Linked DNA regions of Drosophila melanogaster. The protein of the gene in region 2 interacts with the protein of the main gene of each other region in a pairwise test. Each region holds a gene or a part of one and is shown on either strand. Other genes may lie near its edges.

What was found.
Region 1: the proteins of CG5783 (region 2) and ntc interact in a two-hybrid assay, tested with the Drosophila melanogaster proteins (one large-scale study listed by BioGRID).

Annotation. Positions count from the first base shown.
Region 1 is NT_037436.4:3,793,690-3,810,811, forward strand, and holds ntc (nutcracker), read right to left. Parts: upstream 12,771-17,122; 5' UTR 12,271-12,770; coding exon 12,132-12,270; intron 11,076-12,131; coding exon 10,270-11,075; 3' UTR 10,143-10,269; downstream 1-10,142. Other genes in the region: IntS10 (integrator 10), read left to right, coding at 13,123-13,322, 13,376-14,420, 14,477-15,127; CG32262 (uncharacterized protein), read right to left, coding at 15,587-16,408; CG32263 (uncharacterized protein), read right to left, coding at 16,661-17,122. UniProt on the Drosophila melanogaster protein: Functions together with PI31 to control non-apoptotic caspase activation during sperm individualization. Positively regulates PI31 stability.
Region 2 is NT_033779.5:18,148,221-18,163,725, reverse strand, and holds CG5783 (uncharacterized protein), read right to left. Parts: upstream 7,684-15,505; 5' UTR 7,650-7,683; coding exon 7,443-7,649; intron 7,385-7,442; coding exon 7,158-7,384; intron 7,102-7,157; coding exon 6,925-7,101; intron 6,872-6,924; coding exon 6,619-6,871; 3' UTR 6,564-6,618; downstream 1-6,563. Other genes in the region: CG42750 (uncharacterized protein), read left to right, coding at 2,069-2,297; JMJD4 (jumonji domain containing 4), read left to right, coding at 5,186-5,808, 5,863-6,517; CG15155 (uncharacterized protein), read right to left, coding at 7,901-8,135, 8,198-8,311, 8,374-8,606, 8,666-8,860; CG17681 (uncharacterized protein), read right to left, coding at 9,316-9,580, 9,634-10,037, 10,097-10,309.

The DNA.
Region 1 (17,122 bases), on a different chromosome or scaffold from region 2:
TACTAACTCATGGGTATAGAGTAAAGAATAGTTTCGGCTTTAAATTTGCTATATTTTCTAATCATTTTTCACAAGCTTTCAAATCAACAAAGAACGCTGAATGTTATTCCGTAAGCTTCAGAGTATGGAGCACTGCCTTTTTATCAATCTTTTTTGGCAGCCCACGCAATGTTTGCTTTTAAAATGTTTTCTTTTGTGGCCATTGTGTTGGGTAAATGGCACGTCAAATCAAATAAAAATTAACGTCAGTATTAGTCTGAAGCAAGTCTGATAATTTAATGTATAAAAGAAAGTAAGCATGTGAGTTTGTTTAAACGTGGCTATAAGGTTGAGTAAGAATACTCAATGTATGAATATATCCTTTTCAGAAAAAATTCAACATTTAAAGAAGAGTGAGCTGTATACAAAAGTTTAAACAGCTATTGAAATCACTTTTATTAATACCAATTTTTTTCTAAGGCTCCGAGCAATTTCCTTATTAAATTCCGAGTAAATCGTTTCCTTGGCTATAATTTATTATTAAATCATAGCGCTTATCAATTTTCGCCCCTGATTAATGAGGGCCGCAGGCGAGGAATCAAGGCAGACAAGCAATTAATTGCCGGACTATTAGCAGGACGAACAAAAGGACGAAACAAAGCACTCAACAAGTGATTACACCAAGCTATCCTTCCACGGAGGGTCGGTTTCGTGTTTCTCTTTTACTAAAAACATATTCAAGTCCTCCACAGCAAGGATAAGAAATTCTGGCTCCTTTTTATCCGGGCATTATTAAAAATTAATCGCTAAAGTGTGAGTGTGAAAGTGAAGAACAGTTTTAAGCCAACCTCTGTTAAAAATGCAGGACAACAATTTCCGCTTCCTGTCGCCGGTACGATGTTTCAATCGCAACTGCTGCTGCTTTCGTTTGCGAAACATTGAAGCCCAAAAAGGAAAATCAATGGGAAAAAAATGGATGATAATAAAGGCCTATCTATTAGCCTGGCCCAAATCAAAGTACTGATGAAATGGTAATCGTGTGGCGTCGACAGGACATCTCAATTGGCACCTCACTCCATCTCCTCCTCTGCAAATTTTTCCTATCTACAAATCCTTTTTTACTCCTATATATCGCCGTTTTCTCTGATTACTCGCACACGATAAAGTCAAGTCTGGCGTTAAATTGAATTCGCGGCACAATTTTATCTTTACTTTTCAGCGCGTTCAACGTGGCGTATAATCGATTTTTATTTGGCTTATTCGCGTACACATGTGTATTTGATTTTCTTTCAATTTTTTGAGAATTGTAAGTTTTTCTCAGCCGTCGTTGGTAAAGGTTCGCGTTCAACTAAAACTAAAATCAATCGCAAACGCGGTCAAAATAAAACAAAACTGTCACAATGACCACTTCTCGTTGAAAAGTATACTGGGAAAAATTTAACAGATTTTCAAAAAACGATTGTAGAAACTGCTTTTCCAACTTGTATGGCTTTGCTGAAACTCTCTGCTTAATTTATATTTTTTATTTAGATTTTATATATTCAATAATATGCATATTAAAATATTTTGAAATTTTGGTCATAAGTAATTGTTCTACTCAATGACAAGTTTTGGGATTTTAGTAAATTACTAATAAAATTACTAATTAAATAAGAGCATAAAATACAAAAGTTTATTTTTAGTGAAATGCGTGTTAGTCAACAAAACGTTAAACGGGAATAGAAGGTTGGTCAACGGAATAGAGCACCAAAACATAAAACCCACATAAATCAATAGTGAAAAAGGCAAAGAAAAAATCGAATGGGATGACTACAATTTCGAAAAAGTTACAAATTCAAAGCAAAGTCGCAAATTTAAGGAAATTTCTGTAAGGCAGTTCTTAATTTGCTGAATTCCCATTTCAACTTATTATGACTAAAATAGTACATTACGAACATGTTAATGAAATTAAACTTCCACTGACAGCATAAACAACTTTCACTGCAAAGTTATTCCACGTTTTTTTTTTTTTCATAAAATATCCTTCCCCTCTGTTGGAAAACTTTAATTCCCTCAAAACTTTCCCTGCTACTTGTCATTGGCCAGATCCATGTCCGAGTGGCATGACCTAAAAGTTTGCATAAAGAATTCCGTTTTTCCTGACCACCCGCAACAACAAACTGGGCTGTAATTACATGAGCAACTTTCCACATGGCCAACATGGCGTATAAGTAACCGCTCTTATTGTCATTTGCCGCGCTGCTCAATAAGAGGGGGGTGTAGAAAATCAGGAGGGTTGCTTTCCAGAGCTTTGAATGCAATTATGTGCAGCACATGACCAGAATTCTGTCACTGGAGATGAGTTGAGTGCGGATGAGAAGGGTGGGGAGAGGGGGAAGTGGTGGACAGCCAGCGGAAGGACGACAGGAAGGAAGGCGGAAGGATGCGGCGGACAGGGGTTGATGTCAGGTAAGTGGGGCAGGCAAATAAAATATAAATAAATAACAGCGGACGAGCCAAACGAGAAAAACCGTAAACAGCGACACAGAGAAAAATAGAGAAGAGTTTAGATACATTTTTATATAATAATTGTTGTACATAAATTAAACATATTCCAAATTATATAAAATAAATGATATATGCTTAAGGTAGCGAAAAATAAAAATTATAAAGTTGGTCAACTTTTTTTCTTTCAGTGCATTCGAAAAGTCAACAACAAAACTGGAGCTTTGATTGTTTTCAAATAAGCGAGCAGTATTAAATTTTTAAGCCAGGCAATTTGCCAGCAAGGTGGTCACAGTTTTCCCCCCCCCCCCTCCGACTACCTCCCCCTCTTGGCCATCTTTTCCATGTCTTCCCTTTTGACCAAAATTGAGGCTTAAGTTGGTCATTTGCGGTTGGCATTGTCTCCGTTGTTGTTGGTTACCTTTTGACTTGTCTTCCTTTTTTGTTGCTGTGTTTTTCTTTTTGGGTTTTCCCTCGGCCTTTTGTTTAGTCTGATGTGACTGTGGGGAAAACTCAAATGGACGTGAGGGGGAGGGCGAGAAGGTTCAAGGACATACATTTGATTTGCCCGTCTCGGTCTGCAAATAAAGATAATCTTTTACAGAGCTGCGCATTTTTATGGTAATTTTCCTGGGGTCTCGCTCGCTTTTCGCCAAAAAAGTGAGTCCAAAGAAAAAGGAAAACTGGCGGACAGAAGACGTTAATTCAATGCCAAATTCGGCGACCAAGTACCAGGCCCAAAATAGCTGCATTCAAACTCAAATTGAGTTGTTTCTTGGCCAACTTGAAGCGCCTAGAAGATGGCACACAGAAAATGTCAGGCCAAAGCGAGAAAATTTGAACTCAATTTGTGAGAGGAAAAGTTTGGCGGCTAAATAGATTTACTAAGGATTTATGTAAGTGAAATTAAATTGCGGCAAACATTTAAACTTCATCGGGAAATTTGAATAGGCCAATTGCGTAGCGTGTTAAGTGTTATATGATTGTGTGACATTTCATTTGGGTTCAAACTAAATTTGTTTGAAATGCAATTGAATAGATAATTTTCAGAATATTTTAATCATAAGAAGTGGTACTTTTTAATTGTTTTTCTTCTATGAAATAATGATAGAGCTCTTAAAATGTTGTTGAAATGATTTAATAGGTTTTTTTGAATTTATTTGAAGACTCATCGCATCCCACAGTATCCATTTATCTCTTCCGCTGTCAATTAATTATCCTTCTTTTCATCCTTTTCATTATTTATACCCATACTACAGCTAATGACGTCAATAGGCCCATAAGAAAAACTCGTGCTGCATCGAAATATTTTATTTAATTTTTCTTTTTCCCACGTTTTTGGCACAAGTTGCAAATTAAATTTAGATTTCGTGCACGTAACTTGGGGAGCCATTGAGGCAGCAGCGCTACAAGAACCTTAATTACTTGGCCAACTTGCTGCGGATGCTGTTGTCCCCACTACCCGGCCACGCCCCCCTTTTCCGTCCTGTCCCACCGCCCCCATTTTCCGTGGGAGAAATGCCAAGAAGCATTTGAGCGAAAGGGAAGAGTCGTGGGGTTGCAGGCGAAGGGAGCGAAATCAATACGCGAAACATTAACTCGAGCACTAAAGACACGCCATGGAGTCATTAAGTATCCGCCATGCAATACACTGAAACAAATTGGGCTATAAATGTATACAATGATGATTTGCTTAGTTTGAGCTTAGTTTGTATTACTTTAAATAACTCCTTCAAGTTGTTGGCTTAAAAATGAGTGGTGGAATGAGTTCAGCAAACATTCATATGCAATTGTTTTCAGTGTAGGCAACGAGAGGGTTCCTGGGCTGGTGTGATTAAAGCCGAGGAAGCTGTCGACGCCATCATCGAACAGTTTGTCATAAATGGCGCCATATTGACAGCAAATAAAAATTGAAAAAGAAGGCAACGAACACAACTGCAAATTTCGTTGACAAGGATAAAGGCAAAAAAAAAAGGCGGGCCAAAACTATCGAAGACGGTAATGAAATATTATCAATATTTGTCAATATTTACCCAGCCAGAAAGTCCGAGGGAAATTTAACAAGTTTGGGAACGAAAGGCGGAAAATCCTTACCAATAAATCGTGCTCAACGAAATTTATGCACATCAAAATTGAACCCAAAAATGCGGCCTGAATAATTAACCCAACCCCATTTGTTTCAGCTGCTAGATCCCACAAAAATGAAGCCGCCAATAAAATTCGTATCAATAATTTTTTAAACAATCAACCAAATCCAAGAACGAAACTTTTTCAAGATGTCGAAAGAAACTCGTAAATTTTTTATATGAACAACTTCAGAATGCGCTTGGATTTCCACTTGAGTTATCAATTTTTGTAGCCCCAATTTTTTGGGAAACGTTGCTCGCAACATTTTACGACAAAGAAAAGTTTTTGTACCCCCTTGATTCCGTCTCATCATCAGTCTGCTAATTTTATTTCGTACGAACACCCGCAAATGTTTTACACTGAGAAAAGAGAGTGTCAAAATAATAGAATTATCTATGATTTTTTTTTTTTTGGCGAACATACACAGTTTTTTATTAGAGGTTGCAAAAACCATTATACAAATAATTTCAAAATAATTTATTTTTTTAGGAATTTATTTTATTTTGTTAAATTTCTTTACTGTGCAGACTCATGAAAGATTTTCGCAGATGTCGCCGCTGCGACAAGCTCATCAAATGTTTCCAAATCGATTCCATCATTTAAAGCGTATTAGAACAGTCAACAAATATGTGTGTGAGGGAAAAGGAAAGGCGATCAAAATAGAAAGAGAGCAAAGGAAATCCTTGGCAGGATGTGCGACACATTGCGCTTTGAACTTGTCAGGAAATGCTGAAAAAAAGCGCTGAAGAAGTGTCGTAATTTAATTAAGTTTCGCACCAGATGACAAGCGAAACAAAAGTGGAAATGGTGGAGGAAAAGCCAAAGAAAAGCATAAAAATCAACGGGAAAATTGCATAGAATCGAGTGCAGGATAAAGAGCAATGAAAAGGACATTGATTACAGCCAACCTTTTCGCGATTTCAATGACATTTACTCAATTTAGCAAATTGCCATCGTCATAAATATCAATATTGAGTGCGATATAGCTTGTTAAGGTTGCGGATTAGGAAATGATGGCTTTTTATATCGAATCGGTTGAAACGGTAATTGAGTAATTAAGTGGAAATCTAAACGGGGCACCATCAAAGTAAACGCTGCTAATTGAGTTTATTGTAACGCATAAAACCTCCTTGATACGTTTAAATGGGTATAAAAATATATTTTATTTATTATTTGCCTACTCATTTTGCAATATCTCTGTTCTTCCATAAAAATAAGCACATTTATGTGCTTGGAAAATATTTAATTAAAACGTAAACTGCCAGTATGAAACGAAGCCCGCATGACTGTAATCCAATTAATAAATCATTGCGAAGTAATCAATCAATACGAGGTGCAAGCCCAAAGGCCCGCACACAACAATCGACCAGTTAGCATTACAGGACACAATGGAGCACCGGAAAATACACAAACGCAACGCAATTTCCCTTCAATAGCCCCACACTTTCATACCATTTTCATCTCATTTTCATCCCATTTCCCGTTGCCGTCAACTGTTGCACATGCGAGTGACACACAATGACAGCGGCTAATTAAGCTATCAAAATGTACGTCGATCCACCTGGGAACGCACTACGTTACAGTGGGCACCCGCTTGCGGACTCACCTCGGTACAGTGGAAACTCGCCGTCGCTGTGACTGTGGCACAGCATTATGGGACTTCGACATCGTGAGGCGGCGACCATGATCCCAGTTTTGTGGATACTCAGTTGATTGTTGCTACTGGCCGATGATGTTGCAGTTGTGGCTGCTGCAGTTGTGGCCGCTGCTGTTGCTGCTGCTGCTGCTGCGGCTGCTGCTGCGTTGGCCGCCGCTGTGCCCAGGGAGTAAGAGCGCGATACGTGACTCAAGGTGCGGCGTCTAATGGTGGCAGCATTCGCCGATGTTGCAGCTGCGGCCGCTGCAGCATTGGTTGCATTGCGATAGTGATGCTGCGGCGTGGAGTACTGATTCCTGTTGGCCTGCATCTGCAGCTGCAGTTGCTGGTAGCCACCCAGCGACAGGTGGTGCTGCAGCGGTGGGTGGTGCGAGTGGTGCAAGCGCTGCTGCTGCTGTTGCTGCTGCTGCTGCACCGTTTGATGCTGCTGCTGCTGCTGCTGCTGCGCGGGCTGGTGCTGCTGGGTGGCTTGGAAGGGCGGATGGGAGTGCTGGTGGTGCAGCAACTGCCGCTGGTGGTGCTGCTGCTGCTGCACCGCTGCCATCTGGAATTGCTGCTGCAACTGTTGCAGCAAGTCCTGCTGCAGCTGCTCATTGGTCCTGGCATTGTTGTCCTTTTCCGCGTTGGAGTTCTGCGGATTTGGGTTCTGCTGCTGCTTCTCCCAGGGTCCGTTGCTATCGCTGCTGTAATCCAGCTTGAGGCTGATCTAATATTAACTTATACAGTTCAAAAGTGGCACTAGACCATTGCGTTTCGGTCGCTGGATTTGCTATCCAGTATTTACTACAAATATTACACTAAAATCGTTAGAAATAAATTTTCTTTAGAAAATACACACTGAATTGTTTACCATTTCAGCGACCCATTCACACTGTTAAAATACGATTTATAAAATTTAGAAAACTTCATAAATCTTTAGTATAAATCACTAATAATCCAGCTGATTTCGCAATGATTTCAGCGAGTCAAAGATAATGCAAGAGGTAACTAGACCATTGACTGCGATGTCAAGGTCGCTCGGCAGCCTCTCAAACCCAAAAACCCACTTGAAAGTGTTTATAAAAATCTCCAGCGCCGATTTGAAATAATCAGCTGTTGTGTGTGTGTGGGGTAGTAGTAGTAGTAAGTTCTGGACCAGCCAGGACTTATTTATTTATATTTATGAAAACACATAGCACAAGCACACACGGACGCGAAGGATGCCACGCATATGTATGCCACTAAAGGACCTAGTTCGAACAGGTTCTAACGGTATCTGGGCGAGAGCGAGGATTCGCGACACTCTCTCCCGGGTGAAAAGTCCCGCTTTTCCGCTTTTCCGACCAGAGACGCTGGGCCAAAGTACGACGACTGATTGCGCCGAGCTTTGTTATCCTGCGGAAAAGCTGGCTGGCCAAGGAGCGAGAGGCGAAAAGCGCAATCAGCCGAGAGAGTGGTAGAATCGTAGAGAGTTGCACAGGAAATCGGGAGTCTGTGAGAGCTGTGAAAGCACAGATAGCAAACAATCGGGTCCATCTGAGCACCCCCCACATGAAAGTTCATCAGGTTTTGGACTCAATATCGCACGTCTAAATAGCAGTTTCAAATATTTATGATGTTTAAAATATTATTTTTAACATCATTCATAAATATAGCTGATTTACTAAAGAGTTTAAAGCAGAGTTCACTTTTATGTTTGTTTATTTAACGATTATTTTTTCCAGTGTGACCCTGAGTGAGCGAGACAGAGTTGCATCTGCTGGTGCTTAGAAAATTGGCCCTTGCTTTTGCTTGCATCCCAGAAGTAAGAGGGAAATAGGAGAAGCATATGTTTTGCCAACTCTTTTGATTCCTCTTTGCTGTTTACCGTTACTGGACCACCCACAAACGGGAGGAGACCGAGAATGGAAACGAAAGCAACAACAGCTACTCAAACGAGAAGCAGAATGAAAAGTTTGGCACAGTTTAGCATTGCAGATGGGGAGACAGTGTGACCAAAACCGCATGTAACTCAATTTAGCTCAATATTGAAGAAATTTAGGTTAATGTATGTCCCAACATAAACAAAATGACTCAGTGGTTAATTATTTCTGTTGTCCATGGAATTCCAATTTCCATGCTTTTATTCGTGATAAGATAGTCTTTCATTAGGCCATAAAAACATTGACAAATAATCGCAGTCAATAGAAATTTTATTGCAGAAACCCACCAGTTCAAACCGGTTTTTAATAATAATCTTATCAATGCAAAATGAATGATTTGCAATTAGAACACTTTTTGAAATACTCCTTGACGTGGTATATAATAACTATATTTCGTTATATTTCGCCACTGTATGAAACCCACATCTGTGGGTTCATTCACCCAACCATTCGACCGAATTGTGGGCGGACAAAATGGATGACGAGGCTGGGGTTAAACAGCTGCCCCTGGGAAATGCTGAGTAACTCTTCGCTCGATGGAAAGCTTCTCTCGTTTTTCCGAAGCTTTTCAGGAGACACGACTGCCTCTAGTCCAAAAATAAATGCGAGAGCACTAGCCCAGCGGAATATGTTTTGCTTTGTTTGGCTTTGCCATAATTTATTTATGCATTTGTCACTGTTTTTCGTAAATTTTGATAAAGTTGTAGCCAGATAATTTCGACAGGACCCACGGGAAACCGAAAACATAGGGTTTCCAAGGGGAATGTCGCCAGGCTGGGCTCACTCTCACTCTCTCCCTTTTCCATTTTTGTTTTTATTTCATTTTATTTTAGTGATAAGGCTCGGCCCGAGAAAGTCGATATCGTAATATAAACACGAAATAGGAGCCCAGCACCGAGCAGCAAGCATCCCGCTGTTGAGGGAGAAAAACCAAATTGTAGATGCCATCCGCCAGGAAAACCGAAAAGGCGAAGAGGCCAAGGGGAGTACACTGAGAGAAACATTTAAAAGAAATACGAATGTGTTCGAGATACTCTCAAGAGTTCCAAATGAATTGAAAATTGTAAACTAGTGTAAACTTACAAATTTTCGTCGGCTTTTCATGGGTTTCTCTCAGTGTATAAAGCTGTAGCACACATAGGGGTTATAGGGGTGCCGTTTTGCCCGCGTGGGTTTTGTTGATTTTGCGTGCGCATAAAAAATCGAAGTGGGCTTGTGAGGTTGGAGATTCGAAGCCGACGAAGATGGAATGGCGAATGGGGGCTTGGGGTTTTTTGGGGGCACTGGGAATTGTGGATGCGACAATCTCGGCGCGTGTTTTTGGCTGCTGGAGCAGCTTGTTTCGCATTCTGCACTTCTGTGGTTGAGGGCCGACTCGTTTAGGGGCGTGTACCCCTCTTTTCGGTCATAAAGGGCGGAGGGGGGGGGGGTGAAATGCCGACGAACAGGTGGCGCGGACACGTGGACGCAACTCACCTGTAATATCACGATCGTAGAGGTAACTACTGGCACTGCTCTTGAGGCTAATGGAATCCAGGGGCGTGGCAGGTGGCTCAAAGATATCGAAGGAGTTGCAGGACTCAGCCGAGGGCGTCGGAGGATCCACAATTGTCCTTGCTGATGGAGCGGGTCGTATAAATGCATGCAATAAGGACACAATTTAAAGGATAATTTAAACACAAATATATGGTATTACTCTTACTCTTACTCTTACTAAAACATATGTAAAAAAACAAAACATAAGAAGCTTCAGTAATTTAAAACACCTTCCCCTGTTACTTAAAATCTATCTGAAAACTGAAGTGCTTAATTAATTGAATCACTTTCTCGAATTTACCTTTTCAATTGAAAAAATCCATGCCTTCCACCAAATAAAGCAAGGAATATTCCCTTTATCTTTGAGGATAGTTTATTGTAAAAATCCGTCTTAATATTTAAAACATTTCAGAGAATATAAAGAGACGTGTTGTATTTCAGCTCTTAACAAGGCATTTACTTGAATAAGCAAATATATTTATTGACATACAATGATTCCCGAGAATCTTTATGCACCACTTAATAATTTATTAATATAATAATATTTATAAAATCGCTTAAACCGGCTTCGATTAAAACAAGAGCTTAGCTTCTGCCGCCCTTTAGCCTTTTTCGCTCCACTTCCTTGCTGTAGAAATGAAGATGTCTATTGACCCTGGCCACCACATTTAGCTGGCTTTTGTCCAGATATCTGAAGATCTCGAAGTACAATTCGTCCGGGAGGCCCAATAGCGAGGGCTGTAGCTTCATCTCCATCTGCATTAGTTGCTGCGATCGCATGGGCTGGAACAAGTGCTGTTTCAGCTGATATGAGAGTTCATCCAGCTTCCGAAAGCGATGGTAGATGGGCTTGTTCTTCGCCTGAATATTCAGTACATAGCGTCCGATAGACAGGCTGACGCTGTAGCCAGGCTCCTTCGACGGAGGTGCTGGGGACAGGGTGATCATAAGCTGATCCCCCAGGCTGACGGCCATCAGCCGGCACTGAAGGGCAGCCACCAGAGAAGTCTCCTCGGGAGCATGCTTGTCCAATAGTGTTCTCAGTCGCATTATATAGACGGTGTCATTGAAGCACACTTCATATCTAGCTGGTTGTTCGCTCAGGATTCGCACATTCTGGGCGTGAAAGCTGCTAAATGATGGTACGGGTTGAATGAGGTGTCTCTTCTGGGCAAATGTCTCCTCCTCCACAAATCCGCATTCCAGGGCCACCAGGTAAGTCAACAAATGAAGCCACTCGGCAGCCGGCATTTTGCGACATTCCTGATACTGATTCAGTAGCTTATCCATATGCTGCGGCACCCATTCCAGAGTAGCATGCTCCAGGATCAACGGATTTGTCTCCTGGGTGCTCTTCTCTTGTATCAAACGTGGTCGCTGCTTTTTCCCCACTGCAACGAGTTTTATTTGTATTTATATTTAAACAGAATCTCGAGGATATGATTAGTGAAATTGTCTGTGCTGTTGGTTGGTTAGGAGAAGATTGAAAATTGCAGAAACAAACCTGCTATGTGCGGATTTCGGAAGCAACAACTCAAACCGGTAGTTATATACAATACATTTTGACACTACAAAATATAGAACACAGAAGTAAACTCAAAACTCCCGTTAAGACTTTAAGACTGATGTAGAACTTTAAATAAATTAAGTAAATTAACACTTGCATTCAAAAACAAATCACGAAAGAAATTGTAAATAAAATTATGTCTAACACGACATAAATATTTAATTCACTACTCAATTTGCTTTAAAATAAATTGTAAAATTAATCAAACTTAGAATTATTTTGTGTTTACATAATATATTTGATAAGACACTAGGTTAAACAAGTTGGAACTGAACAATTAAAACGGCTATTATTACAATAAATATAACGTCACATTTTTGAAGCAATTTACAAAATAATCAAACAGGTTTTTCGGAATTTATGTTACTTTTATTCGAAGGGGTTAACTTGATGATTCATCGAAGAGAGTCGCCGATCTTGGAATGAAAGTCTAAGGAACTTCATTCAAGTTAAGTGATTCAAGGTATGAGTAAATAGATATGCATAATTCGTGGATGAAAAACACATTGCTCTATAAACTAACAATAGAAACAGGTACAAATAAATTTGTTAAAAAAATATCTATAGAATGAGCAGATTGTTATTAGCATAATGCATGAATTAGTGTACGTTGTCTTGTTTATCATGATTTATGAGTATCTATTGTTAAGTGATATGTATTAAATAATGATTTCTATTATAGATTATGAATAACTTCTAGATATCAGTGATACTCTCAACTAAATATTAATATATACAATAATCGTATTTTTTAAGATTATTTTACGATATAGAATATGATAAGATACTAATGAACGATTGTTATTTGCAGGCCATTTATCAATTACATAGAGCGCTCTTAAGTAAGTTAGTAAGTTTCTATAAATATTACACAACTTACCCTGATCAGGAGCTTTAATGTCCTTTGTGCCGACCACTTGTTGCTCATTTTGCTGCTGTTGCGGCTGTTGTTGTTGTTGTTCGCCCGATGTCGTGGGAATGGCTATAAAGCCCTCAATTTCGGATTTAGTGTCTGACATTTCAGATATTTACGTACGAATTTTCTGGGAAACGATTTGATTTAAACTTTCAATGCGACTGTCATTGTTTGTTTTCGGAATGACAATCAGAAAATGGGGCATACTGCGATTTGTGCACTCAATTTTTATATTTAGTGCTATATAGTGGGACTGATTAACAAAAGGAGGGAATCGCAATTATATTACTTCGTTGATAAGCTGTGGCACTTAAGATTTAAACATATTTACAACAAATTGCGAATGTACAAATATCCAACGATTCTTATTCACGCAACAAAAACAAAGCGCAACGACGCATCGGCAGGTATTTTCTAGAAAACTTGGTTTGTCACAGATATTACATAAGCAGTCGCAATTGCCAGGTTCGTATGTATTTTGCTTAATATAGTTTTCGATTTTGTAGCCGCAAAAATCACAGAAAATTGAAAAATTCGCGAAAAAACAATTGGTTATTTAGCGAATAATCAGCTGGCTGGCAGCTACTATGCAACACTACTGCCGCTGCTGTTATCGATTGCAGATGAGGAGAGAGTCGCTTGTTAAGCTAGCTATATTCAAGCTGAAAATTAAATATCTTCGAATTCACCGAACATATATTGATATAAAAAGCGTTTTAGGTTGAAATGACTCAATAACGCCAGCCCTAATGTAACTAAAACAAGCGCACTATGCTAAACAAGCGTTTTGAAAATAATTGAAATCTCTAGCTAGTTTCTAGATCCAATAGTTCCCATCCCTAATAGAAAAATATGGCCAGTGCTAGTAAATAAATTCCTAATAGCCGGCTAAATGGTTTGTTTTTGTTGAAACTAGGAGAAAATTAATAAAAACAAAAGATATACCCGAAGAAACATGCCGAGCCAAGAGGAAAATGAGTTGTACATGGTCAAGGAGGCGCAAAGACTCCGGAAAAGCGATCCTTGCGCGGCCATGGCCTGGATTATCACAGCTAAAACTTTATATCCCAATGCATTCAACCTGCAATACGAGGCTTATCTACTGGAACGCGATGCTCAGAATTATGAGGAGGCAGCAAAGTGTTTCAGTGCTATGTGAGTATACAATAGCACATCTATTCCAGTTACTTTATCTTTTACTGTTCCAGAGCCACCAATTTCCAGAATCAACATACGGAGCTGTGGCAGGAGATCAACTCCCTAACAAATGCCCTCAGAAATGAGAATGAAACTACGCCGGAACACGAGTTCTATGTAAAAATGTACAAGCACCTAACTCCGGAAGTACAGCACAACATATTCATGCACACCATCAACCACAGTGCCGATAATCTGGAGCGCATCTATATCTACATACTGATGTTCAACAAGTTTCCCAAATCAGCCATAACTCAGGCTCCCAGGCTACTGGAAATGCTGGCGGAGGGCATGAAAACCGAACCGGATCTCTATCAGCGGATTCTGGTGGAGGAGGTATTGCCCATGATCCAGAATAAGCCCCCGGAACTTTCGCCAAATCTGGCCTGCAGACTTTATACCAGTTCCTTGGAGTTTTATTTGCGGCAAATAATGGATGAATCGGATACAGCAGATGCCTGGAAGAACATCTTTAAAGTGCTGATGATCTGCGGTCAGATGATGGGCTGGGAGCCCTTCCTGCCCTTCAGCAAGCATGTCAACCAGAACGTCTACTGGGAAAAGCTGGTGGACATACTTTCCGGCAGTCCTGCGGGCAGCTCCCAGGTTTTGTTCTACGCCACCACCTTGTTCATTTACTCCCTTCATGGTTATATACGAAATTGTAAGCTGAGGATCGAGGATGCCGATGTAACTCATGTTTTGGTAGAAGGATTCATGGAATGGTCGCCGGAAGGTGATGGCTCCGAAGTGCCCAGCATGGAGCCACCGAAATTCTCCCTGACCACGGCCATAAGTCCAGAGTTATCCAAGGCCTTCCTACACGCCGCCCAGTGCTGGCAGCTGCTCAATACGGATCAGTTCCAAAGGGATTTCAGTCAACTTATGCTGGCTCTTCCCTTGGCGCCTTGGATCTCAAGATTCCTCTTCGACTTGGCCATATATTTCGGACACCGGGATGAGGCCAACAAGCTTATGGCGGACATGACCACCCAGAGCAGTCTGGTGCAAAGCCTGCAGATCTTGAGCCTTAATCTAATGCAAGGCAGCATGACGGTAAGTAGAGAGCCAGTTTTTTCACATGGGTAAACCTTAATGAATTTCTCACACAGCTCCAGGGCTTCCAGTGCATTTTAAAGATCCTGTCAGAACTCCCCACCACCCAGGGTCAACTTTTGGAGAATATGTCGCTGAAGGGCCACAGGCACATGGTTTTTCTGCCCCTCACTCGATCAGCGTTGGTTCAGTACTGCGTGGGAGCCATCATCAGCAGACTGAGTCGCAAGGTCTTCGAACCGAACGTTCCAGATCGATTGCTAGGGGATATCCTAGTGCTGCAGCAACTTAATCTACTCAACGATGTTCTGCTCACTCAACAGATATTTAACCTGATCAAGCAACGGAAATCGTTCAATCTGCGCACCCTATCCACCTACATTATTAATATCGATTTGCTCGAGGAACTCTCGCACATTTGGAACTCCCAGCAGGAGGATAACTTTGAGTTGACCAGCTCGCCAAATTCGAGTGGCACACCTACTGCGACCACTGTAGCTGGTGGTTCCCAAAGCCGAAGAATTGGCACCCGTGGAGCGGACAAAGGAGCCCGAGATGAATTCAGGGCGATAACACGCCAGCAGATTGCCCGCTGCAATGAGAACGTGATCACTTTGCTTGCGAATTTCATTAACCAAGAACACTTGATGCTGGCGCAGCACATCTTTGGAATCAGTCAGCCCGTGGAGACGATTGTGATTAAGTGAAATAACTAGGAGGTAACATTTATAAAATATCTATTTTCCAGCTATCTTACACATTGTGTGTTTGGTTAATACATACGACTATTATATTTAAGTTCACCAGTCTAGACTGGTGTATTTCGCTTATCGAATAAACAAATATTTATTTTATCAGCTGATAACATAGTTAGAGGTTGCATTTGATATGTTTCGATTTAGTCATACGCATAATTTAAAACTTCATGTAGTTTTAATTTAATTTGGGTATAATAAATATAATTGATCGACTAACAATAACTTAAAATGATTCATCTTATTTCTTGGTTAAGCATTTATGTTAAAGGACCAGTTGTGTACTAAACATGCATATTTATTGGTATTAAGAGCCTCTTATTTACATAATAACCCTCGTGTTCACAATAACTAAATAATTTGGTTTCTTGTCGATATCACACCTATTCCGCGATTCCTATTCGTTCTGTCTTAAACGGCTTTTTGGGCATCGGGACTCGTCGTTGAACTCTGAGGCAATAGGTTCTGCTCGGAGGACGCAACTAACTTCTCCTCCAGTGGGAGGTGAACGCCGAAATCGTGCTTCATGTAGGACATGAGCACATTGTAAACAGCCGTGCACACATTGACGAACGTCACCCGGTATTTGGTGTCTAAATAGCGAAAGTTCAGGTACTGCGCCGCCGGCCAGGTCATCCAATCCAGCATGTAAACATACGGGAACTTGGAGATCAGCTCCTGATTGGTGGCGTCCAGGGTCTGGCGCTCCAGATAGCAAAGCGAATAGAAGAATATGACGATGCAGGCGGGCGACATGACCAGCTGGTCAATCAGGATCTTCTTGAAGATGTTCTTTAGCGTACGAGCCGGCATTACCCTGTCCATCCAGTTGTACACGTAGTGGTGAAGAGGTCCCTGCAGCGCGCCAGCCACAAACATCCGGTACATGCGATCCGTATCGAAGCGGTCCTGGTGCCGCAATCCACGCCTGTACTCGTACTCCTGGGCTATCACATCGCCCACGACCATCAGCAGTCCGGAGCCCACCACGTTCGTAACGAGCAGATACTTGCCGAACATGTTGCTCCACGCGATCTTAGTCCATCGCAGCAGTATGAAACTAAGCGCTCCACCCTCCGTTTCCCCCTTGCCATGGGTAAAACGAAGTCCGTACTTTTGGTATCCCACACCATGGCTTCTCATCCGGCACAGAGCCGCAAAATCTCTGCGGGAATTGTGGGAGCCATGGATTCGGAGACTGTAGCACTGGCGCAGGCAACGAGTGCCAAACATCGTTCGCAGCCACTGCAATTTGCGACTACTGTAGTCCCGTGTGTTTTTGATTTACGTTACGAAAGACCCGATTGTTTTGACGTTAAACAAGCAGCTGATTGGGGATGGCATTTTTTCGACTGACCACCACCACTTACTGTACCAGCGAGCTTCTAATCGATAGCTTTCTTATCGCTTTTAAAATTTATCCATGAGTTGTTGGAACGCCATTCTTGTATTTTGCTTATTAAGTTTAATTGCCATTAAATATAACTAGGGATCGTGGTTGGAAACCCCGTACTTTATATGAGAAAGCAGAACGACGTACACGCAATTGGCTACATTGACGAACACCACGCGATAGAGGGAATTGAGGAAGCGGAAGTTAAGATATTGCAGACCCGGCCAAAAGCAGCAGTCCAACATCCATGTGTAGAGGAACTTCTCGGACAGCTCGCTATTGCACTCCACGAAACTCTTTCCGCCCAGCAAGCTGCTGACGTAAAAAAACAGGAATATATAGATGGGTGACATGATTAACTGATCCACGAGTATCTTATGCAGCACACCCCATCCACTAGTGCCCGGTAGAACCCCATCCAACAGCAGATAGAAGCCGTGCTGAATCGGACCAATCACCGAGCCCGTAATCATCATGCATCCTGAGCGAGAGTAGTCAAAGGCTTTCTTTTCACCAAACCTCTCGTACTGCTGAGCAATTGCATCGCCGATGGC
Region 2 (15,505 bases):
CGAGGACTTAAAATTGGCATATTGCCAGAGCGCGATGGGTGCGGATAGATCGTTATTATTTTACCGCTCATTACGGGCACTTTTCCATTATTTCCCTTTTGTTCTCTCATGTTTTTCGCAAACAATGTGCAATCTGTTTACCGAGATTTTCAAGTTAATTTAATGAGCTCTCAACTTGCATCCAGGTGGCCATTAATAAAAGATTATCAGCCATCGTAAATATGTGGATAAGATACCATAAGATTATGGTAGTCGTTAGTGTATTAAATGGCTGACACTACTTTCGACGATAAATTCGGAAAAAACACTGCAATGAGGACATGCTCCGGAAAACTATGTAGCAAAATATTTAAGTACCGAAAAATCCAGCTAAATTCCATTTGCGAAATCTGGTATTTAAATGAGCTCGCAGCCCAAAGCTGCCAGTAAATCACTTACCAATCAGAATTTGTCCAAAAGTATTTAAAGCCTGTCCCCATTAGCAGGAGCGAAATGTTCATTACCTCGATGAGCCGACCAGTGGCAGAATGTCCTTTTTCCCCAAACTCAGCGTCATCACCATCATCAAGCTCATTCATCTTCATTATCGTTGTAATTATTCCCGTGATGCTGCGGAGAATGCATTTGCATAGATTTCCATTTCATTGCATCGTGAACACAATGCGAAAACAAACAAAATGTTGAGGATGAAATTTTGATAAACCTACCTGGTCGTCCAGTCTCATCTCGCTGGGCTGTTTTTGCATTAAATATTTTGAGGACATGGCCAAAAATGAGCAAAAATGAGCAGGATTCCCATGCAAAAATAACAACAAGGACGACATAAAAATGTCAATGTAAATCAATTTCCACCGAAATGAACTTCATTTTGTTTTGGTCTTTCGGGGCAGCAGCGCGACCACATAAATGTTTTTGAGGTATTTTGGGGCCCAATGAAAACAAGAAAACTGAAATTGGTGTATATGAATATTTATGGGGCAATTGCCGGGGACCGAAATACGAAACAAACATGAGTATGGCACAATAAATAATCTAAAATTCTATGAAATTACCAAATGTCAAATGGCCTTGTTTCCGGTTCGGGTCAAACCGCATGGCTGATATCCTGGGCTGATATTCGGCAAATAACGCGAATTTCCACTTTAAAGGCTCATTGGCTGTCCCCTATGACACCTTCCCATTTTTCGAGGTTGAGGTTTATCTATTCAATTAAATTGTCATTACTTGTGCCGATAATTTGATCGACATATTGAATTGAATTTTAAGTTTTGGCCATCAAAAGCCGCAAATAAGTGCTATTAATTTGGCAACACAAACGCACACACATGCACAATAAACATTCTGCCCACATTCGCATGCAGAACTTGAAAATGGCAAAAGCCAAACTAGGAGAAAAGGACATAAATTGTTTTCCAACCGCAGTCGATTTGGCAAATTTTTGGAAAATCCTTAAATTGTTTTATATTGACTCGGCAGGGTGGCGCGAATGTTTTATAATAATGTTGATAATAATTTAATATAAAGTGCTCTTATAATATTACATGGTTGGCAGTCCATTTAATTGAAAATGATTGTTTTAATAAATATAAATAAATCGGATTTATGGTGCATCACCCTGTTTAATTTGTCCTTACTGGTATTGTGACCCATATTTTTGCTGTTTGTGTCATTGAAACCGTGTTTGGCCTAAACGCCTGCATAGAAAACTAAATTATTATTTATTTGTACAAATTTCTGTTCATAAAATATGATTACCGAGCACTTGAGTGTTCGGCCTGCAAAATGTATATTTATTATTTATTTTCCTATGTGTGCAATCCATTATTTATTTGTTTTCCTCTGTAGCTTGACCCAATGCGACTTTATTACGCCCAGAGTTTGTTTGCCGTGGACTCTGCCTCTGGACAGCTTAGCCAATTTATTTTGTATGTAGTGCACGAAAATTTAATTTAATTGTGATTAGAAATTTTTTCAAATATATGTTTTATGCGGAAGCATTATTCCAAAATGTATAACTCATATTTCGACAAAAAAGCTAATGCACTGAGATTCCTTCTTCTAATTTTAGTACGCCCAAAGGACTGGAGGATGTGTCTTCATATCCGACTCTATTTGCCGAACTCCTTGGCGGCGGCTGGACAATTGACGAGCTGACGAAGCTGGCAGGCGGCAATTTCCTCAGGGTCATGCAGCAGGTGGAAAAGCTGAGGGATGACAAAAAGGCAGCGGGCGTGAAACCCTTCGAGGATCATCCGAACTTCCGCACGGACGACCCGTACAACTGTACGTCCAGCTAATTGAGCAGCGGATCCAAACACACCGAGGTTGTACCGGAAATGCCGGGGATGTACCCAAAATCGTAGGAGAAATCGATTGAACTGCTGCTTCAGATGTATAGTGGATAGACCTATGTAGCAAATTTAAAGGAACGTAAATTAAACTAATGATATAGATACCTACGATTCGTATAAGCTTTAAATACATATTTTTAAGATACGTAAACATTTGAATGCCTGATTATTTGGCTTGGGAAGTAACTTCCTCGATCTTTCCCTTTGGTAATCGAATCGAATTTCTTTTCATTTTATGACAATCTACAGACTGCCAAGGAAGAACACACCTACTTATAAATTGCACCAGAGTCCCACACAAAATTAACGTAACACTAAGTTATTTCCTACCTCGAATCCATATAGAAACCAGACTTTGTTAGCTCATCTCCAACTGGACCAACAAACACTCCACTTCTCTTCTGTGAACTTTCAATTATTTCACTAATTTACATGAGAACTACATATCAAGCATGTATTAAGCTAAGATATTTAATTAACAAAGTATTTGATTTAGCATTAAATCCAATGCGAATACTTATGAGTGGGAAAGCATACACTTATAAACAATGAGTAAAGTAATTAAATACTTTAGTTCCAGCGAGGGCGGGACGTAAATGAAATGTTTAGTTAAATTTTTAAGCAGTTCGAGGGCGTCGAAACTGAATGAATAAATAGCGTAATGAATACTAAATTAGTTCGTAAGCAACGTGTAGACGTGGCACTGCCTGCTACACGAACACTGTACATAGATTCCGATCACAATAAGTATAGCAAAAATTCATAATGATATAGAAGTTTTGCAGCATATAGTACATACATACATACTACATTCGTTTTCACCTACCAGATACACAGATACATAGATCTCTCAGTCAGTCTCTCTGTACCTTCTAAATAAAAAGATGGAAATATAGAAAAATGCGCTTAGCCTAAGTAAACAAATTATACATACTAAACCAATATTGCAAGCCGAAAAACCGAAAAATGTAAAACCGAAAAACCGAAAACCCAAGACAAAATCAATAATTGTACATTTTCTAAACCGAAACCGAATAATAAATTGTAAACACCTTTATAACGATTGATAGCATGAGAATCTACTGTTACGTTTTGTACGATTTTGTATGTGTATATAGCATTTTTACCTATACGCTAATTTGTATGGTCATTATATAGTTTTCTAGCAAGCGATTCGAGCGTATTATACTGTACTGGTCTGATGAGCAGATTTGTTGGTAATCATGTAGCTATAAGTCTGGCCTGGAAGGTCGCAAAATAAATATCTGTAAAGTTTATACATATACGAATATGCCTAGATCTAGAAATAAAAACCGACTAGCATAGAACAACATGCATATATACACTACAACTCGATTCTCAAAATGTCTTACACTTATTTGATCTCTTTCTCAGTTTGAAATTGAACAGAAACAAACACACAATCTCAGACATGCATATGTAAAACCAAATTGTAGTTAAAAACTTGAAAATGGTAAAATGTTTAGCGAATAAAACTCTAAAGGCAAACCAACTGCAGTAAATATAAAACCAATTAAGGAAAATAATAAATTGTTTTATTGCTGGAACACGTGGAATGGTGGAATGTGGAACTTAAGGGGGTTCTTAATTTATTTATTTTTTCGGTTTTTATAGGTGAATTCTAAAAAATAACAAGAGAGTCGAGTTCCCCGACTATCAGATACCCGTTACTCCGCTAGTGTGAATGCGAACGCAAAATTTCATCATTTTTCTGGGATATACATAGATAGATATTGGGGAATAAAATGAGTAAAAAATTTGAAATTTGTTAAAAGTGGTTTTAGAGCGTTAGAGTGGGCGTGCCAAAAGCTTTTTGCAAGTCGACAGAAATTTACATGATCAATAAAATTATGAAAAAATATCCAACAATTTTCAAAAATGTGGAGGTCAGATTTGGGCGGTTTTAGGATGTTAGAGTGGGCTTTGCAAAAAGGTTTTTGGCAAATCGATAGAAATTTGCAAGGTTAATAAAATTATAAAAAAAAATTATCAAAAATAAATAATAATTTTGTGGACGTCGAAGTTTTGGACGATTTTAGGGCGTTAGAGTGGGCTTGGCAACATGTGTCAATAAACTTGTGCTGAGTCTATGTCTCCAGAATCTGTATGCTGAATCTCAACCCTCTAGCTTTTATAGCTCCTTATACGGACAGTCGGACATGACCAGATCGACTCGGCTATTGATCTTGATGAAGAATATATATATATATATATACAGTCGGCGGAATAAATCGACGGGATAAGCCGACGGTACATGGCGCGACAAGTCACGGTATGTCAAAAACTTTTTAATTTTATGAATTTTTTATGCGAAAAATTCCATTAAAATGTTATCCACAGTTTTCGGGGAGTTTGAATTTTTCTGTTACGACACGTTTTTACATTCATTGTGTTCGAAGCTGTGCTAGATAAATAACAGCCAACGTACATACATGTAATCGCTGATAAAAAATCGTATTAAATAACCATGTGGGATTTATTGATTAAACATCTGGTGAAGTTAACTTATTGGGGTGCTAGCTTTATCATTTTAAGAATTTTTTTCATAGATTCCATTTAAGTTAATTTAAATGAATTCGTAGCCTTCATTCAAACCCATCCTTGAAAAATACCAAATCGTCTATCGTCTATAAAGACACTTGTAAACGGTCACATTGATATAACGGCAAGACCATATGTTATTTTATTTGCGATGGTCACACAGAAAAGTTGCAACCAAATATCGTTTTGGAATTTTTTACAAGGAACTCAAAAAGGAACAGCCAGTGCATGATTAGGAATTTGAGCGCCTCAAAGACCCACAGCCAGATCGAATGGCGTCCGAAGAGCGGGATGGGGATGTCCTGCTCCAGTTGCATCCCGAGGAAGTCGTGGAAACTGACCCACAGCTGCCCGAGGAAATCGAGCGCTGTTCTGGACTAGATTATAACGATTTTTTCTGGCGCTACATGCACAAGAACATACCGGTCATCATAGCCAATGTGTCTAACGACTGGGAGTGCCAGAACTGGACTGTAGGCCAGTCCAGTCCAGAGTCGCGGGATCTCAACTCCAATCCGAGTGCATCTTCCATCAACTTTGACTACCTCAAAACCAAGATCAGCGATGGCCCGGTTCCAGTTGCCAATTGCAATTCGTCGTACTTCAATAGTCACACCAAACTGGAGCTCAACTTCCACGACTACCTGGCCAAGTGGAGGAGTAGCATCGAAAGTCAATCGTCAGCAGCGTGGACGTCGGCGGAAGTGAATAGTAATGTGGCTCCCGCGAGCGGGGACAATCTCTACCTCAAGGACTGGCATCTGGCTGCCCAAATGCCGGGCTATAACTTCTACAAGGTGCCTAAATACTTTGCCTCCGACTGGCTCAACGAACAACTGATTCAGCAGGGGAAAGACGACTATCGATTCGTCTATATGGGGCCCAAGAACTCATGGTCTATTTTGATGCCTTACCTGGTTTTCTCATGCTAAATTACCTTCCATTCTAGGACCTCCTATCATGCGGACGTGTTTGGCTCCTTCAGTTGGTCCACCAATATAGTGGGCCTTAAGAAATGGCTGATAATGCCGCCGGGAGAAGAACTCAAACTCAACGATCGCTTGGGAAACCTGCCCTTTAGTATAGACGAGAAAATGCTGGATGAGCACAACGTGCGATATTACACCATTAATCAGCGGGCCAATGAAGCTGTTTTCGTGCCCAGTGGCTGGTTTCATCAGGTGTGGAACCTAACAGACACCATATCCGTCAATCACAACTGGTTCAATGGCTGCAACATATCCATGGTCTGGCAAAACCTTAAGAACAACCTGAAGGCCGTTTGCAATGAGATCTCCGACTGCCAGCAGATGGACAACTTTGAGGCCCACTGCCAGACAATGCTGAGGGCCAGCTTTGGTATCAACTACCTCGATTTTATAGAACTACTGGAGTTTATAGCCGCTCGCCGATTGGCAGAGGGAACCGTAGCCACCAAATTTTTACTATTCGATAGTTACACAATGAACGATTATCATGTGCAATACGATCTCGAGTGCTTATGGAAGATCACCCGGACTCTAACAGAGGATCCGACTATCCAGTGTAGTCCCCTCCAATTAGAAGATCGCTGCCAGGGATTGCTCGCTCGTTTAGAGTTTTAGAATAAGCACAGCTCAAATGCCTCGGCATATTTTTATACCAATACTTGTATTCATATACAACCGAAAGTCGTAATATTTTAATACAGACATTTAAACACCAATTACTCGCCCTCGGGCCATGTGAACTGCCCACCGGTGGGTTCCGTCCTTAGCCAGTAGCATTGATCGATGACCTGGAATCCCAGTTTGCTGAACATCTCCGATGACGGCTTATTCGAGGGGCCCACGAGAGCCATTACATCGTGACCTTGGACGGCTAGGCGGTATGCTATTTCCCTAGTCACCACACTGCCAAATCCGCGTCGCTTGTGTGTATCTTTGACTTGCAGGGCGCCCAAGTAGCCGCCTTGTAACCTACAGATTTCGATATCAGGTAATGTGTCTTTATAAAAATACATTCGTCTTACCTAATGCACCAGGCAACTAGTTCCTGGGTGTCTTCCTGGTACAATCCAACACTGACGCACAGGCGAATCTGCCTTTCTACGAAGAACAAAGATCCCTCATGATGATTGGGCCACTCTGCGTTAACCAATGGAGCATCTGCCACACTCAACGACTTTAAAACAAATCCAGATGGAGGTCTACAAGACTTAGATCATATAAAACTCGTTATGTTAAATGGATTATTATTTCTTACTCGACTTTCAGCTTGAGAGCGTCGTTGGCTTTCATAAAAAACAAATTCGTGCAGTCCCTGTACACCAGATTCAACTTTTTGGACTCCACCAGACTATCCAGGGCACCAATGTGTCTGGAGGGTATAGAACTGCATTTCAAACCCGACGACCAGTCCAGTAAATCCAGAGCTTTTCCAACAAGGCCGTTCGTGTTGTTCAAGCAACCTACGAATAGTTGATAGCGATCCTAAGAGAGGGCCGCCTCTCTTAGTGAGTTGCAGTCTATACATATATGTAGAACTCACCACTATAACAAAAAGACCTTCATCTCTGGCTTGTTTTGCATCCAATGTGTACATCTTAATATTCCTCATATGGGGCTGTTTTTTCAGAAATTCCACAAAGTTATCAAGGCAGTAGTATTCCTGGCAATATTTTGGCCAGTTTTGCTTGTAGAGCTGTTGGAACTCCTGGATATCTTTCAGCCCAATAACTTCTAATCGAGTACCCATATTGGTCGAGCGAAACAATCTTCCCCTTCGAGCGACCGAGTGAAAATGGCTCATTTGATTGTTGTTTGGGTGACTCAATCAAGCAGCTTGTCTATTTCTCTTCATGCAATCTCTTCAAATCGTTAGATTCTCTTACGTGTGGTTTTCTTATGGCCAGCCAGTACATTTTTTGCCAGCTGCTAAAACTTATCAGCTTTAATAATTTAAATCTACAAAAAAAATAACATTTACAGATAAACAAGTCCTTAATCTTATCGAACTCCTTTTGGCGGCTCCGTCATCAGCCAGTGACACTGGTCGTTGATTTTAAAGCCCAGTTTGGTGAACAGGCCCAAGGATGCCTTGTTTTCCGGAACCACTTCGGTGATTGTATCGCGTCCCAGCAGAGCCTCTTGTCTCGCAAATTCCTTCACAATCAGTTGGCCGAAGCCTCTGCGTTTGTAGGTCGTCTTGACCTGAAGGACTGCCAATAAGCCATCTGGAGCCCTGCGAAGTAATAGTAATTGAGAATTTATTTCTAATAGCATGAATTTCTTTCTGTGTCATACAGAATTTGACGGCGGACCACGGAAAGGGAATCCGGCTCACTCCATTCCCATTGATCATTAATCACCTGAGCATCGTCTATATCTACCGGCTTAAGGGAAAATCCGGCTGGAGGTCTGTTAAAGTTTAGAGCGGTTTATTAGGCACATGCACTATATATATTTTTGGATGAACTTACTCTACTTGAAAAAGCAGGGCTTCCTCTTTGCTCAAGACCAGGGAAAGTGTTACACAGTCGAGATCTAGTTTCAGATTCTTCGCTTGAATAATGTCGTTGGCAACATTGAAATACCTTTTTGGCATTGAGGCGAACTGTTCGCCTCCATAGAGCTTAAACTTGAGTAAGGACTCCTTGAAAAGGCTTTCTGATTGTTCAGCTTCCAGGAAGCCCACAAATATCTGATAGTGATCCTTAACGATCCACATAAAAATTAAATAAAAGATCGCACAACCACCAACCGCATTCATACCACGATCACAAATATTCCGAGCTCTAGATTGGGAAGAGCATAGACTTGCACATCCTTCAGCTGATCGTCCTTTTTATATAGCTCCAGAAACGTGTCCAGGCAGTAGTACTCCTTGCAGTATTTTGGCCATTCCCGGGTGAAAACACGCTTCAGATCACCCAACTGCTGAACGCCGACCTGCTGCAGACGATCCATTTCGAAAACTGATCCCTGGCAACTAGACGGTGATTCAATTTATACACTGAGATAGCAGGGCACCTTCTAGATATTTTGCATATTAGCCGCTGTAGACTTTGCTGTATCTCTATTTGCTGTCTGGGCCTATTCCCTGCCGGATCAAGATATCCGAAAGCCTTTTGGCTTGAATGTGATCAGAATCATTTGCTAAGTGGCAGTTAAAACTGAGTCAGCAATGGGGAATTGTGAAAATATTTAGCTGGCTAAAAGCTAGCTCTCAACTGACTGCACACTTACTTCAAGCGAAACAACCTTTCCGATCAAATATCCAAATAGAAGTGCAGCTCGTCAAGCATCATCTGTACTTAGTTTGAAGAATATATTTCTTAAGGTTACAACTACAAAGGTATATAAGGTATACAAACAATTCATTTGTAAGCAATTTCTGGCCAATAATACTAACGGTGTGGGCCCTATTCGTCGCAGGGCCAAGATATCTGGCCTCCTGCTGCTGGCTTAATCATGCTCCAGTAGTAGTGTTCGTCCTGGATCAACCTGAAGTTGAGTTTCTCAAACACACGACAGGCAGCACTGTTGTTTATATTGACCAAAGCCGTAATATCCTGCTGTAGATCCGTTGCGATTGCTTTGGAAATGGCGGCGGCCACAACTAGGCCCAAACCACGACGTTGGTGGGTTGGGAGCACTTCCAAAGCACCGAGGAATCCACTTTGCAGTCTGTAAGACTTGGTTAAAGATACAATACAATTCAGAATTCATTTTCTTAGTACCTCAAGCACCAAGCACATAATGAACCCAACTCCTTCTCATACAATCCCACATTGGTATTGTATGTTATAAGCATCTGGATGAGCTTCAGCGAGCCGGGATGTCGAGCTGACCAAAGATCGTTAATAAGATCTGCATGTTCCAGCCGCACTTTGTCCAGGAAATAACCATCCGGGCACTGTATCTGCAGTCTCTCTGCCTCCTCACGGTTCAGGATGTACATAATGGTATTCATTTCTCGATCCATGTTGAGCCCGAGGTCCAGAGCCAGCTGCTTGTAGATCTTGTGATGGATCTCATGGATAGCACTGACTTTAAATCCTCTCGACCAATCCAATTGTTTCAGCGCAACTTCCAAATCGGTTTTTTGCTTGCTCAAGTTACTGAAGAATAGTTGATAACGATGCTGAAATGATAAGTGTTCAATGATTATACTCAATAGTTCGTAAGAACGTTTCCACAGACCACCAGTATAAACAATCCATCGCTCCTCCAATCATTATCCAAAGTATAGAAGTTAAGGTGTTTCAACGTCGGGTTTTGATCCATCCATCGCAAGTAGTTGTCCAGCCAGAAGTAGCCGACACAGTTGCTGGGCCAATCCTTCAGATACAGTATCTGCAGATCCTTGAGATTGGCCACATCCGTGATTCTCGTCAGCTGTCCCACAGTTGCCATGCCGAAGAGAACTTCTTGACTGTTTATTGCCACCGGCTTACTTGTTTTTATTTGCTTGTTGATAAGCTCGGAGAGAATTGTTATACCCTTGTAAAGGTATCACGATTTAATGCCACCATTTTAAACCTAATAAATATATGAAAGTAATCGCGGCTATGAGCTCATTATTCCTGTGCTGTTTAATATTTTGCTTAGAATAATAATTTTCCATCATGAATTTAATATAATAATAATATTTTTGGGATTTATTGTGTAAAAAGGAATGTGTAATATAGTCAAGAGTATTTATATGTTCGTCTATCTTTAGTTTTTATTAGAACATGATTGTAAGACCTGATCGCAAAAATGAAAAAACGTTAGCGGATTAATGACCAGCAAATACTAGACTAAATATTTGTTAAGTGTAATTGTCCAATAAGAAATTTACTTTTGTATAGACCCGACTTTTGTTTTGAGTGTATTAAGCTCTTGTTTTGGAATTTCTTATCTACGTTTTATAATTATGAATAATTTTAATATTTTTTTGAACGAAATCAAATAAAATGTTGTGACAAATTCTCATTGGAAACTTTCAAGAAGTTCTCATGGAGGAAAATATGTTTTCAAAATATATTTTCAAAAATTCTACGGCACAATGAGTTCCACATTTTGGAAACAAAAGTTAAGTCACCGTTAATTTGATTTTTCAAGTAATTCCACTCATTTTGTTAATTCTAAGCATTAGCGGGGCTGCCATCCTGAATTCTAAGGATGTTAAGCGCGGCCATATTGATTTATAAGGATATCAAGCATTGCCGTCCTGACTGCTAATGATGCCACGGGTTGGAGCCCGTGCTAGAGTATACGAATACCAGTATTTTGAAACTCGACCACTTTCCAGTTTCACCACCATTTCTAGCGATAATGTGCGACCACTTAGCCGAGTTATCCACCCGCTAGTGCTACTTTTTCCGCGGCCATTGTGGAATTTTTAATGGGTCGCAGTATCGTTGGCGATTCCGTTGGCAGTCACACTGGAGAAACGGAACGAAGCGGACGCAGTGCGAACGATACAGATACTTTTCGGGGAAGCGATACTTCTTCGGATTCGTGCGTGGTTTCGTTGCGTCGAGTGAAATTGCACAAATTAGTGGAAGTGCACACTGTCGAATGGAAATAGTGCAGTGCCATCGCAGATCGAAAAGTGCAATCAATTAGTGTTTGCTAGTGTGAGTGTGTATGTGCCAGCCAAACGGTTGAGATAACGTGAAAACGGGGAAAATATCTTTCAAAGCAAAACTAAAATATGCTTAAACTACGGTTTAGCCAAATTGCCAACTAGCCAAAAGTAACGAGCACACCGAAACCAAAAAAAAAAGCCAGCAAACCAAAATAGAGGTAAATACAAAACTGTCTTAGGTGTTTACCACATTGTGGTAATTGGAATTCCCTGAACCGCTCGCTGTTTGCATAAATTACTAAGCAAAATAAATAGTTGCCCTGTTTGCTATATAATATTTGCAAATGCCATTGATAAATTTATTAGGGAAAGGCGCAATATTCCGCGAACTGGACGTAAGGGGAATGGCTACAATATATACTGACAATATACATATATATGTATATTTTTTTATATATGTTGTTCGCTGAGCTCCGTGGGCCCAAAAGAGCGATACGAAATTCCCAGAAACGCATTTTCTAATTTAGACCGATTTCTGAGAAGTGACAGACAGCCCAGGCGAACCAGCAGATACAAAGATACTCGTACTCGCACTCACTCTCACAGATACACAAGCGGACTCACACGCACACACACACACACACGCAGGCACTCTGAGTGGTTCGCGCGGCTGTGTGTGTGCGCTTGTGTGATGATGTTGGCAGCCAGCTGCCGTTGTTGTTGTTGTTGTTGTTCTTGTTGTTCGGGCTATTGAATGAAAAATGCTGCTGCAAACATTTAACACCGCAAGCCAAGCTGAAATGAAGCTGGCCCTCACACAGACTCGAAACTGAAACGCACACAGCGCCACACGACACGAATACAGATGCAGATGCAAGCGCACGAGCAGATGCGGATACAGTGAAGCCTCGACAGTGGCGTGCGCACCCACAAGAAAATACAACCACTTACTCGCATTCCACTCCGCGTTTTCCCACGCCAAACATAACCATATCGAATATCACTGATAACATGAGCTGTCAAAACTTGTATTGATTAACCCCTGTTGTGCTTGTCGCTCGAAAGTAACTTCGCGGTAACTTCGTGAAAAAATTAAGAATATCTCGTAGGAATTATGTAGGATATATTATACTTTTTACTTTCGGGAAAAGTATCTATGTAGATGGAAGTTTGAATCATTGGATTAGCACACTTTTTGTAAGTTAGCAAACTTAAATTAGAATCTTTAGTTTAAAGGTATTTTGAAAATGGATTAGGGTTAAATATTATGTCAGTAAAATTTAAAAACTCATTTGGGTATTACACATTTTGACCATAATCACACTGATGGTTCCATCAAACTACCCGTTGTTCTCATATATAATATAATTTATTAATTATATAAAATAACTTAATTATATTTATATAAACATTTACTTTGCTTAACTTTTTTAAACCAAACTCAATACTCAATACTGCTAAGTTCTTCTGCTGCTTAGGCTTCACTGTACTTGCGCTGCTCTCCCAGCCGCACCACTACCAATATCGAGGCCTGGTTGCGCTGCTGTTATGGCCTATAGCAAAGTGGTTGTTGTTGCTGGGCCCTGTTGTTGGCCATGGCTTCTTGCTAAAGGTGTATGAATGTAAAGGTGTAGCGGCTGAATTCGTCCGAAGCCGTACAACAACAATGGGTTAAGAAGTGAGAGGGAGGGCGGTGAGGATGGTTGGTAGGGGTAGGGGAATCTGGGAACATTGGTCCTCCTCTTGCTGTTGCCGTAGTTGTACCCTTCGGAAGAAAAGGTGTTATTAACTTGGTTTGTAATGCGTCAAATTGTTCTTGTCTGCGCTCGTTTCTCTCTGTGTGCCTATGTATGTATGTATGTATGTCTGTATGTGTGTGCACTTTTTGATTATTCTTGGTAAAACCCGCTTTTACCATCTTCTTCCGCTCATTTCCTTGAATTTTCGTATTAAACTTGAGAGCGTTTTCAATTTTTTGTTTTAATAGCTTTTCACGTGAAATGGTTTCTCGAACACAGGATAAGTGCAGTGCTAGTGTTGGAGCGGGACAGCAGCTGCCCCGAGGGAGAGGCACATAGCGATCTTGCAAAAAATGCCAAATTGTCTGCCCAGCAACGAAATAGTCCCTCTCTATCGCACACCAATCATAGGTAGACTGTTGGCCTCTTTCTCGCACCCCCACCCACCATCTCTTTTCCTCTTTCATGCCATTGTTGTTTGTTTTTCCTTTTTTTTTTCGATGAGATTTTTCGTCGGAAATTTGTTATTGTTTATTGTTAATTGTTAGCGTGAATTTGTTCAATTGAAACGCAATGCCAAAAGTGAAATGTGGGCAAAACACTCAATTGTGAGTGTGTGAGTGGATCTCGAGTGGGTTTACAAAGGTTAACCAAAAGGGGAGGAGGGTTTTATTTCACATGGGGGTGTTTTACAGGGAACTGCAATTTATCGAAAATTGAAACACATATGCATGCTTGTTTTCACATTTATAAAGCCCCTAGAGTTCGGAAACAACTACGTAATACTTCAGCACATCGGATTTCCCAGAAACTATTCCTCGATATATAGTGTACATATTTGTTCACATAATCTTGGTAACACCACACAGAAGTCATCTCTAATAAGTAGATTTTCCGTATATCTTACTTGACTTGTTTCCGTCGAATAGCAATTACCTCAAACCCAATTGTCATGACTATCCAGAAAAACTATAGAAAATAAAGAACTGAGTAATTCAAAATATCATACCCCTATTTTCTTTTACATATACACATATGCCAGCTTGAAACCGTTGGAGTTAAAATTAAAATTAAAATTAAAATTAAATTACATATATATACATATATGTATGTAATCTAATATTATAATATTTCTCAATTTCTGTAGTAACCCATTTGGTAGCATGACCCATAAAACTGGACCGATCATTGTTTACAAAAAAAGCAACTAAATCACTGAATCCGAAAACCAGTTCAAAAGTGTCTTATGTAAATCTTTCTATTTGATGAGCGCATTTGGAAATCGGAGATCTAAAATCCCTGAGCGGCGATATTAGCAGCATGCTTGTTTGCATGGCCAATGATAATATTAAAAGTAATAATAATAATATCTAATGACTTGACCTTACCTCATCCTTATCGTTATCTCGGCGCATGTCCGCCTGCACGCCCCTCACTATCCTCGCCACCCACTTCACCCCAACTGCCCATGCTTACCTATGTATGTACATATTTGCTTTTCCCTGGAAAAGCCAACGAAATGCTTTTGATTGTTCTTAGAATTCCGTTTCGTTTCCACTTCGCAATCGTTTCTGTTGATAAGCGAATTTGTTTGTGAGTTGAACATACATAGTATATTGCTAGTGTTGATTTCGCGGTTCGTAGTAATTTATCAATGAATTTGTATACTGTGTGTGCCGACTACTGACTACTTATTGGCAAAGGTCGATTTAATTCTTGAGATAGCTGATTTCGTAATCGCTATATTTAAAGCCTTAAAAGTACATATGTATGTATATGTGTTTAATCAATCACGTTTACGACCCATTGTTAGCTGCCATATCGGTTAATAAAAAGGCCAGGTTATTGGCACACGGGTATTCAGTTGGGAACTCCGTTCGAAGCCTGAAGCAGGTAAATCCAAACACCTTAATATTGATATTGATTAATTTACAAATGGTAGCCGCAGTCACGTTTCTATAAACTTGGGGTAGGTAATGCCTTTCGAAAGTCCAGAATAGGTTGGGCTTAACGTCATCATTCAAAACAGTAACGGTTGGAATTTTATTGCTTCTAATCCCTTGTGTTTAAAATTAGAATGCATAATTAATTATGCTTTGGTAGATCCATCAAACTATTAGCTACAGTCCCCCAAATTATTAGCTGTCCGAACTAAACTCGGGATAAATACAAATGTATACAAATATATAAGTTCAGAAGCTAGCAACGACGAATCCGCCTTATTTGTGAGATAATGCGATTGTGATATGACAATGCCTCCACAACAAACTTATCAAAAAAAAAAAAAAGAACACAATA